Linked DNA regions of Saccharomyces cerevisiae S288C. The gene in region 2 interacts genetically with the main gene of each other region. Each region holds a gene or a part of one and is shown on either strand. Other genes may lie near its edges.

The links. Genes that interact genetically often act in the same process or in processes that back each other up.
Region 1: mutations in MAD3 (region 2) and CIN1 together harm fitness more than expected from each alone (negative genetic interaction), as found in Saccharomyces cerevisiae (5 studies listed by BioGRID, with this or other methods).

The regions. Positions count from the first base shown.
Region 1 is NC_001147.6:988,218-993,333, reverse strand, and holds CIN1 (Cin1p), read right to left. Parts: upstream 3,546-5,116; coding exon 501-3,545; downstream 1-500. Other genes in the region: MNE1 (Mne1p), read left to right, coding at 1-470; proline permease PUT4, read left to right, coding at 4,552-5,116.
Region 2 is NC_001142.9:407,311-415,428, forward strand, and holds MAD3 (Mad3p), read right to left. Parts: upstream 3,731-8,118; coding exon 2,183-3,730; downstream 1-2,182. Other genes in the region: chaperonin-containing T-complex subunit CCT3, read left to right, coding at 248-1,852; VTC4 (Vtc4p), read right to left, coding at 3,924-6,089; DNA-directed RNA polymerase III subunit RPC17, read right to left, coding at 6,975-7,460.

The DNA.
Region 1 (5,116 bases), on a different chromosome or scaffold from region 2:
ATTTTGCTTTCTATAATTTGTTGGTTACACAAAGTCACAAATTTTTTCTTTTCGATAAGTTTAGTGATAAGTTTTCGTGGAGGTTGCCAATACAAATCGGAGATGCAATTTCTGAATGGCTATCCAGCTTAGAAATTGATATACAAGAAAACACCGATAGAGTTTTGCAGATAACAGATGACGTCGGCGAATGGTATGTTGAGAATAAACCATTTAAGTCAGAAAAAGGGACCATTCAACCAATAAACATAATGGAATTGCGCAAAATTTTTGGGGAGCGAAAAACTCTATTTCATATGGATTCAGAAATTTTCCAAAAATCTAAAGCAAAAAGAGATAAAGAAATGCGGAATGAAGCTTTATTTACCGCAAATGATGCGGAATATAATTTTGCTGCGGATGTATCCTATGCAAAGAGAGTAGAAAATCTATTTTCTTACATAAGATCTAAGCAAATGCAACAAAAATAATGATTATATGTAAAATTTGCCGTTTACATTCTATAAAGTGATATCAGACTCTAATATATTCGCCAATTCATGTTTCTGGCAGGCCACTTGTAGAGCTTGGAGTTGCCTGGTGACACCTAATTCCAAAAATATCTGGAACATACCTTGTAAAGCGACATTTTGATCAGTCATAAATTTTGATTTTGTTGCGGCGTATTCACGTTTCACAAGAACCAACAACCTTTTCAGTATTATGTTGGATAGATTCTTCTGGTCAGCATTTTCTCTCATTGTGTGGTAACAAGATATTGCCAAGAACGGGAAGAATTTGATCACGCTTACTCTCAATGTCGTACAATCTAATAAATGTAGGTTATAGAACTTGGCGAAAACACCCTGAAAATTAAAATTTGGATGTAGAACAACCAACCCAGATTCCATGATTCTAGTCCAAAATTTTACACAATGAATGGTGAATTTGATGGTGTCAAATCTCATACCTCCTGTTAATGGATCCTTGTTACGATCGCGTATTCTTGATTCAGCGATTTGTTTAGCGCTTGGAATTATTCTGATTAAATCGTGGCATAATTCCAGCTGTTGTGAAGGAGACAAAGATCTGTAGTATACGATAAATGAATCTATTGATGAAGTAAGCTGAGAATCTGTAAAATGTATTGCTCCAGCGCTCACTGCATATCCTTTCCAGAATTCTTCACTTAAACCTTGCTTGTGACGGAAATTGAGTATCGAAGAGTCAGATAACACAGTGATTTGTGATGTGGCCGAAGCAAGTAATTGATAACTTAGTTTTCTGATCTCTGGTACAGGTTCCGCCAGCAATCTCGTTAATTTTGGATTGATGGAGTCGCAATCACCAGATAAGAAATCGGGATGGGATTGCATAAGTTTTAAAGCCTGTATTCTTACCAGACGTCCTACATCACCCTGTTGAGTTATTGTATAATCATCGAGACAGTTGATAATGATGTTGCGAAATTTTCGATACGAATTCGACGGGAGTAAGCTTATTCTAACATCCCAATGATGATCAAGTTCGCCTATCAAAAGCGATCTGGATTGAGGTGACAATAGGGGGAACTGGGAGAAGAAAAGGGAACACATCTTTTCTTGATCGGGCATATGACATATTGATCGGCAAGTCAGTTCGTTATCTGATTTAATTAATTGAACAATCCTTGTGTAGTTTAGGCTAACGCATTGAGATATTATTTGCTGTATTATAGGGATGAATTCGTTGTACAGATTTAACTTCTTTTGTGGGGATACTATGTCTACAAATTTCCAAAACAATTCCTGATTGAAATCATTTTGTCCTGTTAATTGCCAGTATTTCAAAATGACAAAAATTTGAAACAGTTCGGGCGAATTATCGTTAAATTGTCTTTTCGCTTGAGTAGTTAATTGGAATTTTATCTTTTTCTGGTAAATGTCGATACAAATCTCGCTTATTTTCGGGCAATTTACGTCATTTTCGAATAGTTTCAAGTACAAGTACAAAATTTGACAATTTTGTGTAACTGAGCTGCCAGCCTTGTTTAATACCTCTTGCAATAAAGCGGGTGAAGATAATTTCGACTTGATTAATGGAACTAGGTTATAATCTATGTTGAGTTTCATTGTGGTCAAATGTAAATTCTCTAGTAAATTCCAATTGAAGGACCAATCGCGGAATACCTTCCATACGCAAACAGCACTTTTGGAGGTGTTTTCGGGGTTGAACAGCCTACGAATTAGACCAGAGTTCTCCTCGAAAGACCTCGGTAGATCCTTCCAATTTGCTTGCAATATCAAAGCAATGTCATTTTGATTTAGCGCAAGAGATTTGTTGGACCTGCCCAATAATTCTTGGAGCGCGGCAAAACTCGAGTATCTGATTATTAATTCGGGGTCAAAAAAGGCGTTTATTAACAGATGAGAAAGTAGTGATTGTAGAACCTGCGGCGATAAACTATTGCTACGGTTTGACCTTATTACTGACCAGATAATGAAGTTTGTCGAGTCCCTGATATGGTGGCCCTTGATGATTTGAAAGTGAGATTTCTGAAAATGACATGTTTTAGGGATGATCAGAGTCAATACGCGGTCGACTAGATCTATAGGCAGAATTTTGGCCAGAGCCACCTCGGCGATGATCAGAAGGGAAGTGTGCAGCTCATTGCTATCGATAGAATCGCAAGGAGCCTGTAATAGGGAAACCGTATTTTCGATGGTATAATCAATGAGCTCGATAAAAGATGCTGGATCTGCCTGGTGCAGGAACTTGGCAATTTTAGCGAAGGAGTGTGCCAATTGGAATCTTGTGTCTGTGGAATTCGAACTTAAATGGTCATGGAAGAATTCTACTATAGCATCTAGGATATCATGAGAGCCATGATTGAACGAAATCTGGAATAATTTTGGCAGCAGCTTTATTCCGTCATTGGACAGTGCAACTTGTTGTAAGTGTCTTAGATTTTCATTGGAGAAGTAGTAGTTTGCCTTTTCCGAAGACTGAATAAACAGCTTTAAAAATTGGTTGAGAAACGGCACATTTGCCTGTTCCCGTTCCGGTAGCTGGTCAAAGGCATCTGTGAAGTTTTTGAAATATAAAACGGCTTTGATCTTGTTAATTGGAGGTATGCAAATGGGGTAGTTCTCGAACCTGGAAGATACTTGAAGCGTTTTGTTGAATTTATCTTTGAATGCGTAAGGTGAAAGCAGAATGACGCTTAGCCAAGAAAGGTTTAGATAGACGCACAAGACATCGCTGAAAGAAGAGGGCGAGGCTCGATCTTGTAAATAGTTTAAAATTTCGTTTAATCTAAAAATACTTGTATCTAATGATTTAAGGACTTTTGAGTGGGAGATCTTGTCAAGATTGTAGAAAAGCTCCGCAACAAGTTTCTGATCACGCTGTGACATACAAAAGAACGACTTGGTCAAAAGAGGCACGCATCTCGGTAGTATGGTGTCTAGAAGTGCAGGATCATCTTGAAATTTGTTGATCGCGGCAATCGTCTGTTGGTGCTTTTCTGGAGAAACGGTCTGAACTCCAGATTGTATCGAGTCCAGCAAGGCCCGAATATTGTTCATGATTGAAGGGTGTAAAGTGCGTGTGGTGGCGTTCTTTCCAAAAATATTATCGTCTTTCCTTTTTTTTTCTTTTTTTTTTTTTCAATAGTAATAGTATTTCCTAGTGATCTCGGCGATTTTCCTTGATTTCTCCAAAAGCGTTTTTACCCGGACGATATGAATCCATCTATTAAACATCATAACATCATATTATTTTTTTCTGTGCTTCTAAAACGGAGATCAAATACCGGGCCCGCGCGCGATGGCCGGATGTCCGTCCATACTGCAATGTGAATTCCCGCGCGGTTCAAATCTTGTCACAAGTTTGTCAAAATTGCTTGTCATGTCTGCCAAATCTCCAGGGTCCTAAATCTGAGGTAGCACGGCACGGCACAAGATGGTACCCATGGTGCGTGACGACAGCCGCTACTTGCACGGCTTTGTTCCGGCAGCCCGGGTACCCGCGCTGCGAGTTGAAACATCATCAAACCAAAAGGGAAGCGACGTTAGTTTTTTTCATTGCGCTAGCTATGACGTTTGGGTGGCCTAGCCGGTTCGCGTGTGCCTGTCGCTTTTGTCGCTTTTCAACTTCTGCCCGATATTTCCTATCAAAGGAAAATGGGACGTTTTCAACCCCTCGCTATCATCGTGCCTGCACTCTGCCTATCGCCAACTACACCGGGGTTTTATCTGCTTCACCCCTCCATCCAGTGCTGATAACAAGAAGAACCTTGCAGGGTAGGGCAGGACCTACGGCCAAAATACTAATTATGTCTGTTTATGTACATGCCCCAATCTGAATATTCCATGAATGTAGGCACAGCATATCTCCATCCATGTACTGATACAGACGCATAAACATATATGTATATACATACTTATACACTCGAATATTTGTAGACTGATGTACTTCTATATATATATAGGGGGTTTGTGTTCCTCTTCCTTTCCTTTTTTTTTCTCTCTTCCCTTCCAGTTTCTTTTATTCTTTGCTGTTTCGAAGAATCACACCATCAATGAATAAATCATGGTAAATATACTGCCCTTCCACAAGAACAATAGACACAGCGCGGGAGTCGTCACCTGCGCGGACGATGTTAGCGGCGACGGTAGCGGCGGCGACACCAAGAAGGAGGAGGATGTTGTCCAGGTAACGGAATCACCATCGTCCGGGTCGCGCAATAATCATCGCAGCGACAATGAAAAAGATGACGCCATCCGTATGGAGAAAATATCTAAGAACCAGTCCGCGTCGTCCAACGGCACCATCCGCGAGGATTTGATTATGGACGTGGACTTGGAGAAATCGCCCTCCGTCGATGGCGATAGCGAGCCGCACAAACTAAAACAAGGTTTGCAGTCGCGCCATGTGCAACTGATCGCGCTGGGCGGCGCCATCGGTACCGGTTTGCTGGTGGGGACTTCATCCACGCTTCATACGTGCGGTCCCGCGGGGCTGTTCATATCGTACATTATTATTTCCGCGGTGATCTACCCGATCATGTGCGCGCTGGGCGAAATGGTGTGCTTTTTGCCCGGTGATGGTTCTGACAGTGCCGGGTCGACGGCCAATCTGGTCACTAGGTACGTTG
Region 2 (8,118 bases):
ACAGTGTATATATTTGTGGTACAGTTTCTGTATAGCCAAATATACCCTGATATAATCTTATGTGATATTATATACTTCCATCCTAATACTAAACTTTTTCGTTTAACGTGACGCATGGTGCGAAGAAAAAAAAATAGCAAATCGCCACTCAATAAAGTGAGTAGAGAGCATTATATCAAAAAAGCATCGATAATATCGAGTGATCATACGTTGAAAATCATCAAGTACAATAGTGATATAAGCCACAATGCAAGCTCCAGTGGTATTTATGAATGCTTCTCAAGAGAGAACTACCGGTCGTCAGGCCCAAATCTCCAATATCACTGCTGCAAAGGCAGTTGCCGATGTCATTCGAACTTGCTTAGGTCCAAAAGCTATGTTAAAGATGTTATTGGATCCTATGGGCGGTCTTGTGTTGACTAACGATGGCCACGCTATTTTAAGGGAAATTGATGTTGCACATCCAGCAGCTAAATCAATGTTGGAGTTATCCCGTACTCAAGACGAAGAGGTTGGTGACGGGACTACAACAGTTATTATTCTAGCTGGTGAGATTTTAGCTCAGTGTGCACCTTATTTGATTGAAAAAAATATTCACCCTGTTATTATTATCCAAGCCTTGAAGAAAGCACTGACTGATGCACTAGAAGTTATCAAACAAGTAAGTAAACCTGTCGATGTGGAAAATGATGCCGCTATGAAAAAATTGATTCAAGCCTCTATCGGTACTAAATATGTCATACATTGGTCAGAGAAAATGTGTGAATTAGCTCTAGACGCTGTTAAGACTGTCCGTAAAGACCTGGGACAAACTGTGGAAGGTGAACCTAATTTTGAAATCGATATCAAAAGATATGTCCGTGTGGAGAAGATTCCTGGGGGGGATGTTCTAGATTCTCGCGTCTTAAAGGGTGTCTTATTGAACAAGGATGTTGTTCATCCAAAGATGTCCCGTCACATAGAGAATCCACGTGTTGTTCTTTTGGATTGTCCACTAGAATATAAGAAGGGTGAATCTCAAACCAACATAGAAATTGAAAAGGAGGAAGATTGGAATAGGATTTTACAAATCGAGGAAGAACAAGTTCAGCTAATGTGTGAACAAATTTTAGCCGTTAGGCCAACACTAGTCATCACTGAAAAAGGTGTTTCAGATCTAGCACAGCATTATTTACTAAAGGGTGGATGTAGTGTTTTAAGAAGAGTGAAGAAATCAGACAATAATAGAATTGCTCGTGTAACTGGTGCAACCATTGTCAATCGTGTAGAGGACTTGAAGGAAAGTGATGTCGGTACAAACTGTGGATTATTCAAAGTAGAAATGATTGGGGACGAATATTTCTCATTTTTGGATAACTGCAAGGAACCAAAAGCTTGTACCATAATGTTACGTGGTGGTTCCAAAGATATATTAAACGAAATAGATCGTAACCTACAAGATGCTATGGCTGTTGCTCGTAATGTGATGTTGAGTCCTTCCTTGTCCCCAGGTGGTGGTGCCACCGAGATGGCAGTTTCTGTCAAATTAGCAGAAAAGGCAAAGCAATTAGAAGGGATCCAGCAATGGCCATACCAAGCTGTAGCTGATGCTATGGAGTGTATTCCACGTACTTTGATACAAAATGCAGGTGGTGATCCTATTAGACTCCTATCCCAACTAAGAGCCAAACACGCACAGGGAAATTTTACAACAGGTATTGATGGTGACAAGGGGAAAATTGTAGATATGGTTAGTTACGGTATTTGGGAACCTGAAGTCATCAAGCAGCAAAGTGTCAAAACCGCTATTGAAAGTGCATGTTTACTATTAAGGGTTGATGATATTGTTAGTGGTGTAAGAAAACAAGAATAATAGCCTCGAGGTTAAACTTCATTACTGCCGTTTAATATTTGGTGTTTCTTCACATTTTTTTGTTTTTTTATACTATTGTAATGTATTTATATAGAATTAAAGTCCTCACTATAATTTTGTCATCCCTACAGTATGTCATAAGCGTTAATCGGACAAACGTTCATTTTAAAATTGGCCTTTTTATATTTATATTACTCCTCATAGGATTTAATATAGAAGTATCATTCGTTAAATAATCATTATATCATCTGTGCTTTAAATAAAAAAGTCGGCCGTCGATGTGTTTACGATTGGCCAGTATACTTACTCATTCATGGGATTAGTTTTATTTCAACGCTGTGGTGGGTACGATATGAAAGACGAACTCGACTTGTCATCATCTGAAATGATCTCAGAATTTTTGCTTTGAGAAAAAGAATTTGATTCTCTCATTTCTAAAATTGGGGTTAACTGCCGCGGCTTGACAGCTGAGATGATATCAGACGTCTCAGTGCTTCGTCCCTTTGGCGTCATAGGGCAGTTTATGTACTCTTCGCCAGAAAACATTCTTCCCTGGTTTGAGGGGGTCAACGACTTGGAGACTAAGGCTTTTCTACTTATTTTTGGTCTTTTCGATTGTGCTTCAGCTTCTTTTTGATTTGCGCTTTCTTCTTGCCCTAAATTTGCTTCTCTTGGATGTTTCCTATTTGTCCTAACCCTTTTATAAACGTTTCTAGAAATTGCCAAGACTTCTTCTAGCGAAAATTCTAGTCTACCACCTTTAGATTCCTCATCTTCACAATAAATCAGTTTAAAATTACAGTCAATTTTTTCTGGTTTCTGGTCCTTTGTATTAATCATTTGATAAACAGGGTCACTTCTACCTATAGAATCTCTAAAGATCGGTAGTTTTTCATCATATGGTCTCTTTTTTTGCGATAACATCTCATGTTGTTTAAGCTCACCCAAATTGGTATTTGCTTCTAGCAATGATATTCGAAGGTTGTTTTCTTTGTTCCTTTCTGCCTTTAAGTCAAAATTTTCCCAGCCATCTCTATAAACACCTCTATTCGGAGTTTCGAATAGTTCTACATCAGACTCTTCTCCATCTACAAATACGTTGTTTTTTGTTAAATTGACGTCACTTGATGTGCCATTTTGATTTGCAAGCTCTAGTCTATTGACAAATTCAGATCTGGTTTTCCCAAGTACTGTAGACTCTAATGAGTCCATCGATATTTCATTTCCTAGCTGAATATTGTTCTCCCCCAGTTCTCTCAGGAGATGGTTTAACCGGTCTTCTAAAACCTTATTAGGCCTAGCCTTATTTTTGATTCCTAGCTGTAGAATTTTCACGGCATATTGAAATTTTTCTTTCTGAATTAATAGATTCGTAAATTCTTCATAAAATGACGCTAACTCGGAACCAATTCCATTTCTTAACATATACATGAAAATGTCTCTGCTTTCCATGAATGAATTTCTGGTAAAAAGTTCTATGTACCAAAACCATATTTTAAGAAACCTAACATCATTGCGATATCTCTCCAAATCCTTTAAGTGAGATAAACATCGCTCCAAAAGGGTGAGCATTCCAGATTGTTTGGAATTACCGCCTTGTGGATAGGCGTTGTTCAGCCACTTTATGTATTCAAGATACAAAGTAATTGGGTCGCTTAATGCAGGGAGCTCATCTATCAGTCTTTGTTCGAAGCTTGATTTAACTTGGTTTATTTCCACCAGTGGTTGATGTATCGCTTTCGAGAGTGCCGCTGCTGATCTGCCTTCCTTCAGGGGAAGAATGTTTTCTTTTTGAGTTTCGATTTCTTCAAAGTTAATAACATTTTGTGATGGTGACGATGGCATGTAAGAGATACGTTTCTTTGCGTACGCTTTCATTCTATCAAGTTAACGTCTTTTATTGTATTTTCGCATGATTTTGTTTACTATTTTTGAACCAGTGTGCGCCTGGTGAAGGTGTGCATTTCAGGCAAGAGGGTAGTTCTCATATATAAAAAAATGGCGCTAAAGAAATTATTATATCTAATATGATTATTACTTAATTATACAGTAAAAAAAACACGCTGTGTATTCATTTAGCAACTAGGTTGCAGAAAAAGGAAAATAAAATAGAGAGAATTAGAAACACAGAAACCATGCCGGGCCCGATCTTATCCTCATAATCTACTGCTCTCTTTAGTCTAATGTTTACCACTCTCTTGGCATAAACCATAACAGTACGTATCAACACAGCCAAGGAAGTAATAAAGAACCCAATGGAGCCAATCATGGCTGTTGGTGAACCATATGTTAATAAAGTAGTGGAGACACCGCCCAACAATATCGAGATGGACAACCAAGACAGGTAGGTTCTTTCAGTGGCAAAGTAAACTTTTGGTTCCACACGAACTGGCACACATATCGTCTTTCCCGGTGGGGCACGAATTTGAGTATCAAAAGTAGTACCTTTTGGGATTTTAGATATTTGATCACCGTTAAAATAGTGGTCAAAAAATGCCACGATTTCATAGTATTTCTTGGAGATAGGATTTTCGGCATTCCTGATCTTTCTTTGATAATAAGCAGCATTAGCACTCTCAACAACATGATTAGTGTTGGAGGTGGGGGCCGAAGTAGCCCCGTAACCAACAGATTCTTCTATATCAAGAGAATTACCGGGTGCGTTTGTCATGGCAGCAACCAAAGCAGCGTCATCCTCATCATCCTCATCGAAGTCGTTATCTTCGTTATCGGATCTACCGGGTCTTGTTATTTCAATATTTGTTGGTAGTGGAGGTTTCCTGATATCAACATCCATTTGAGGTAACCAAAATGGGATTGAATCCACTTTATCATTTAGTAAGGTAGCCACACCATGAATAAACTTGGAGAATTTTGGGACTGGCTCAACTAAGTGAGACCCGACTAATTCACGTACCCACTCTGGAGGTTCTTGACCTAGTTGAGTTTGCAATTTAACTTCCAGGACTGCATATGGGAAACGGCAAATATCCTTGTCATCTAGCTGCTTGAATGGCCAATCGACACCAATATCAGTTCTCCTCCAATTCTTATGAGTTCTATCCACACCATCAAAGTTGTCTTCTCTCACCATAGTTAACTCTGTATCAAGGGAGATACGAACTCTTGCATCACCAGGTAATTGAAAAGCAGTTCTATTGTAGAATGATCTCACTACAGGTCTCAACTTTTTCTTTAACATGACGTATTGAATTTCGGATGCTAACGCCTCCAAGTTTTCAATTTCGTTCATTGGCTTCTTGCCTTCTTTACGCATCTTGGCAAATACTTGATCAACAGTATATTTACCCTTTAAGAAGTCATTAACATGACGTTCCTTTAGCGCAAATCTTGCCTTGACAGATTTCTCACCAGTCCAATCCTCTCTATGGGTCTTTCTTTCTACAAAGATCGTGTCTGTAGACATACCCCCATACCATCTCAATCTGTGGGCTTCTGCACCTTCATCTTTTCTTAATCTGCCATAATAAAGGTCTAGATTTTCATTATCAAAATAGATCGAAGTAATAGCGGAATCTTCTCTTTCGAATTCCTTATTAGTGTTGAAGACTAACACTGGTAAATGCTTCAAGATGATCAGCTTCAATTCTGTAATGTTATCAGGGTGAACCCAATACTTTGTTGTCTGTCTAACGAAATTTTGTTGCTTCCCACCAGCAGATGAGTCTCCCTTGATTGGGCGACCTGAAGTTCTGGCAATATCATATAGTTGGGAAATTTTAACGACTAGTTCGTCATAGTTTTCCTTGAAAAATGGTTTAGAGTCTAATCTAACTTGGAAAACTGGTTTCAAGATAAAACCTGTCTTCTTATCGTGTTTCTTGATAATCTTTTGGAAACCAGTGTAGTTTAGTCTCGAAAACTTTGCTAGATCATGAACATCGGCAATGATATCACTTAGTTCTTCTTCTAGAATCTCAAAATCTAGCTGAGTAGGAGGATTATTGGAGTCTAACAAACGAACAGTATGTTGCACTTGTTCTTGAACCTCTTTTACACGTCTAAAAACTTCACTATGCTTAACTTTGCAAAATGTGTAAACCTTGTCTAACTCGATCTCCAAAGATTCTAAAAAATCTGTTTCCAATTCTTGCGTCCACTGACCGTTATTCTTAGATAAGTTATCTTCTAGCTCAGTCTTCAGATCATCATAACTAATATAATAGTAGCTGTACTGTCTAATAAGAGACTTGCTCAAGTGCTCACCAAACTTCATAGCTGTTCCTGCCTTGTTATGCTCTTTTATTGGCCGATTTGATTGTTAGCCTGTAACTTCTTTCTGATTGCCTCAATATATAAAGATAGTATTGCTTCTTTTTCATTCACGTGTGCAGCCACGTGCGGATGAATAATAAAAATGCAACATATATGCATAGTGCGGTGTGTGAAAAAGTGAACCTACAAGTCAGTAGCTCTCCGTCAAAACGCAGACAAACCAATTTTTTGTCGGTGTTTTCCTGTGCAATTCCAGTAAGTAACATATTAATACAATTTCCTATGATGGGTTACGTGGAAAGCAGAGAGGCAATTGCGTGATTAATTCGGAATATTAGCAACGCTTCTCTTAGTATGAAAAAGCTCTTCGAAAGACTATATTTTTGAAAGCTTTAATATGTTTATAAGTTAAATATTGTCGAACTTGTTTGCGACAGCTCTTGAAGTCACGGTGCGTCTTTTTTTACTCGTCAACTGGTATAACAATGCGTATGACAATTATTATATAACTATTACTTTATTCTTGCCATGAAGGGATTACTGTAACGCCCTCAACTAGTATACCCTTTTAAGCCTCGACAAAAATACAGAATAAACAAAAGTTAAATCTCACCGAAGTTGCTTGTGGTACTGGCTTTACAGACGTTTATAACGCAGCACTAAATTTCCAAATAATAACCTTCCTCCAATGGAAATAAAAAAAATCGAGACTAACCCAAAGTGTGCGCAATAAACTCTAAAAAATAAAGTATATTCTTGTAAATATTTCTATATGCTTAAGTTCAATAATACATGCATACTCATTGAACATGTTATATTGTTACACAACAAAGTAATTTCTGTTTTTCGGAAGTGCCAGTCCAAATCAATTCAAAGCACTGTACACTCATGCGTAGCCAGAGATGATCTCTAGCATTTCCTCAATTGTTTTTTCGTCAAATCTTGCATCACACTCCTCCACTATGGAGTAAAGGTGGACCATATTGGCAGGAAGTTGATTGACAATCTGCAGTTTTTCAGCCTTGAATAATTTAAAAGAATTCAGTTTAGTCATCAACTCAGCAAAGCTTTCATCGCTCATTTTGCTTATACCCGATTTTTCAGCATCTTTTGCACCACTGCTTTCTCGTTCCTCGCCTTCATCTTCCTGGTTGATAAAGTTTTTGTTTATACTGAGATAGTTAACCACATTGCGAGTAATACCTTGCAATTCAGGATGATTGTAGGGCCTATTCTGCTTACCTTTCGAGCGACTTTTCTTCAGCGCAGCCAAACTTTTTTGGTCCCAAAGATGTTTTTTTTCTAGATCTGTTAGGAACTTCAAGACTTCATAGTCACTTAAAAATGCATTCCTTTCCTCAAGAACTTTCATAACGTTTAAAGTTTTTTGTTTAAGTGTCGATTTTTTCAGTGGTGGGTGTTGGATTCACTCAACTTCTCTTCTACTGTGGCTGTTATTTGCTTAACTTTCATAGATCGATGGCATTGAAAAAAATAATTTTTCAGGCAATTTTCCTTTTTTTACTTGGTATAATTTTCAGGAATTGAAGGATTTTTCAACGAATTAGCCTTGTTGGCGCAATCGGTAGCGCGTATGACTCTTAATCATAAGGTTAGGGGTTCGAGCCCCCTACAGGGCTAATATTTTTTTCTTGCCCACTTATTCAAGGAATAAGTGCTAATTATCTTTCAACCTTGCAGCGAAGCTTTCTTTTGTATTTCATCTCATAGAAGGTGAAATATCACACTATTTTGTAAATAGAAATAGTATATGTAGTTCGTGGAGAACCAGACTGCAGACTATCAATAAAAGGTTACATTCTGTTCAACTCATGTGACCAGAAGTTTGATTAAGCAAAATTGTTCTTCTCCTTAACATATGATATTATCTGAAGGAATCTAGAAAAGCTTGATCATTCCGCAGAATAACCTATCAAAATGATTGGGAGGACCATTTTATAATTCATGCTACATATATAACATTATACAGTAAACCCTTTTAATGTAATGGATTGCTCATAGTTGTGTAC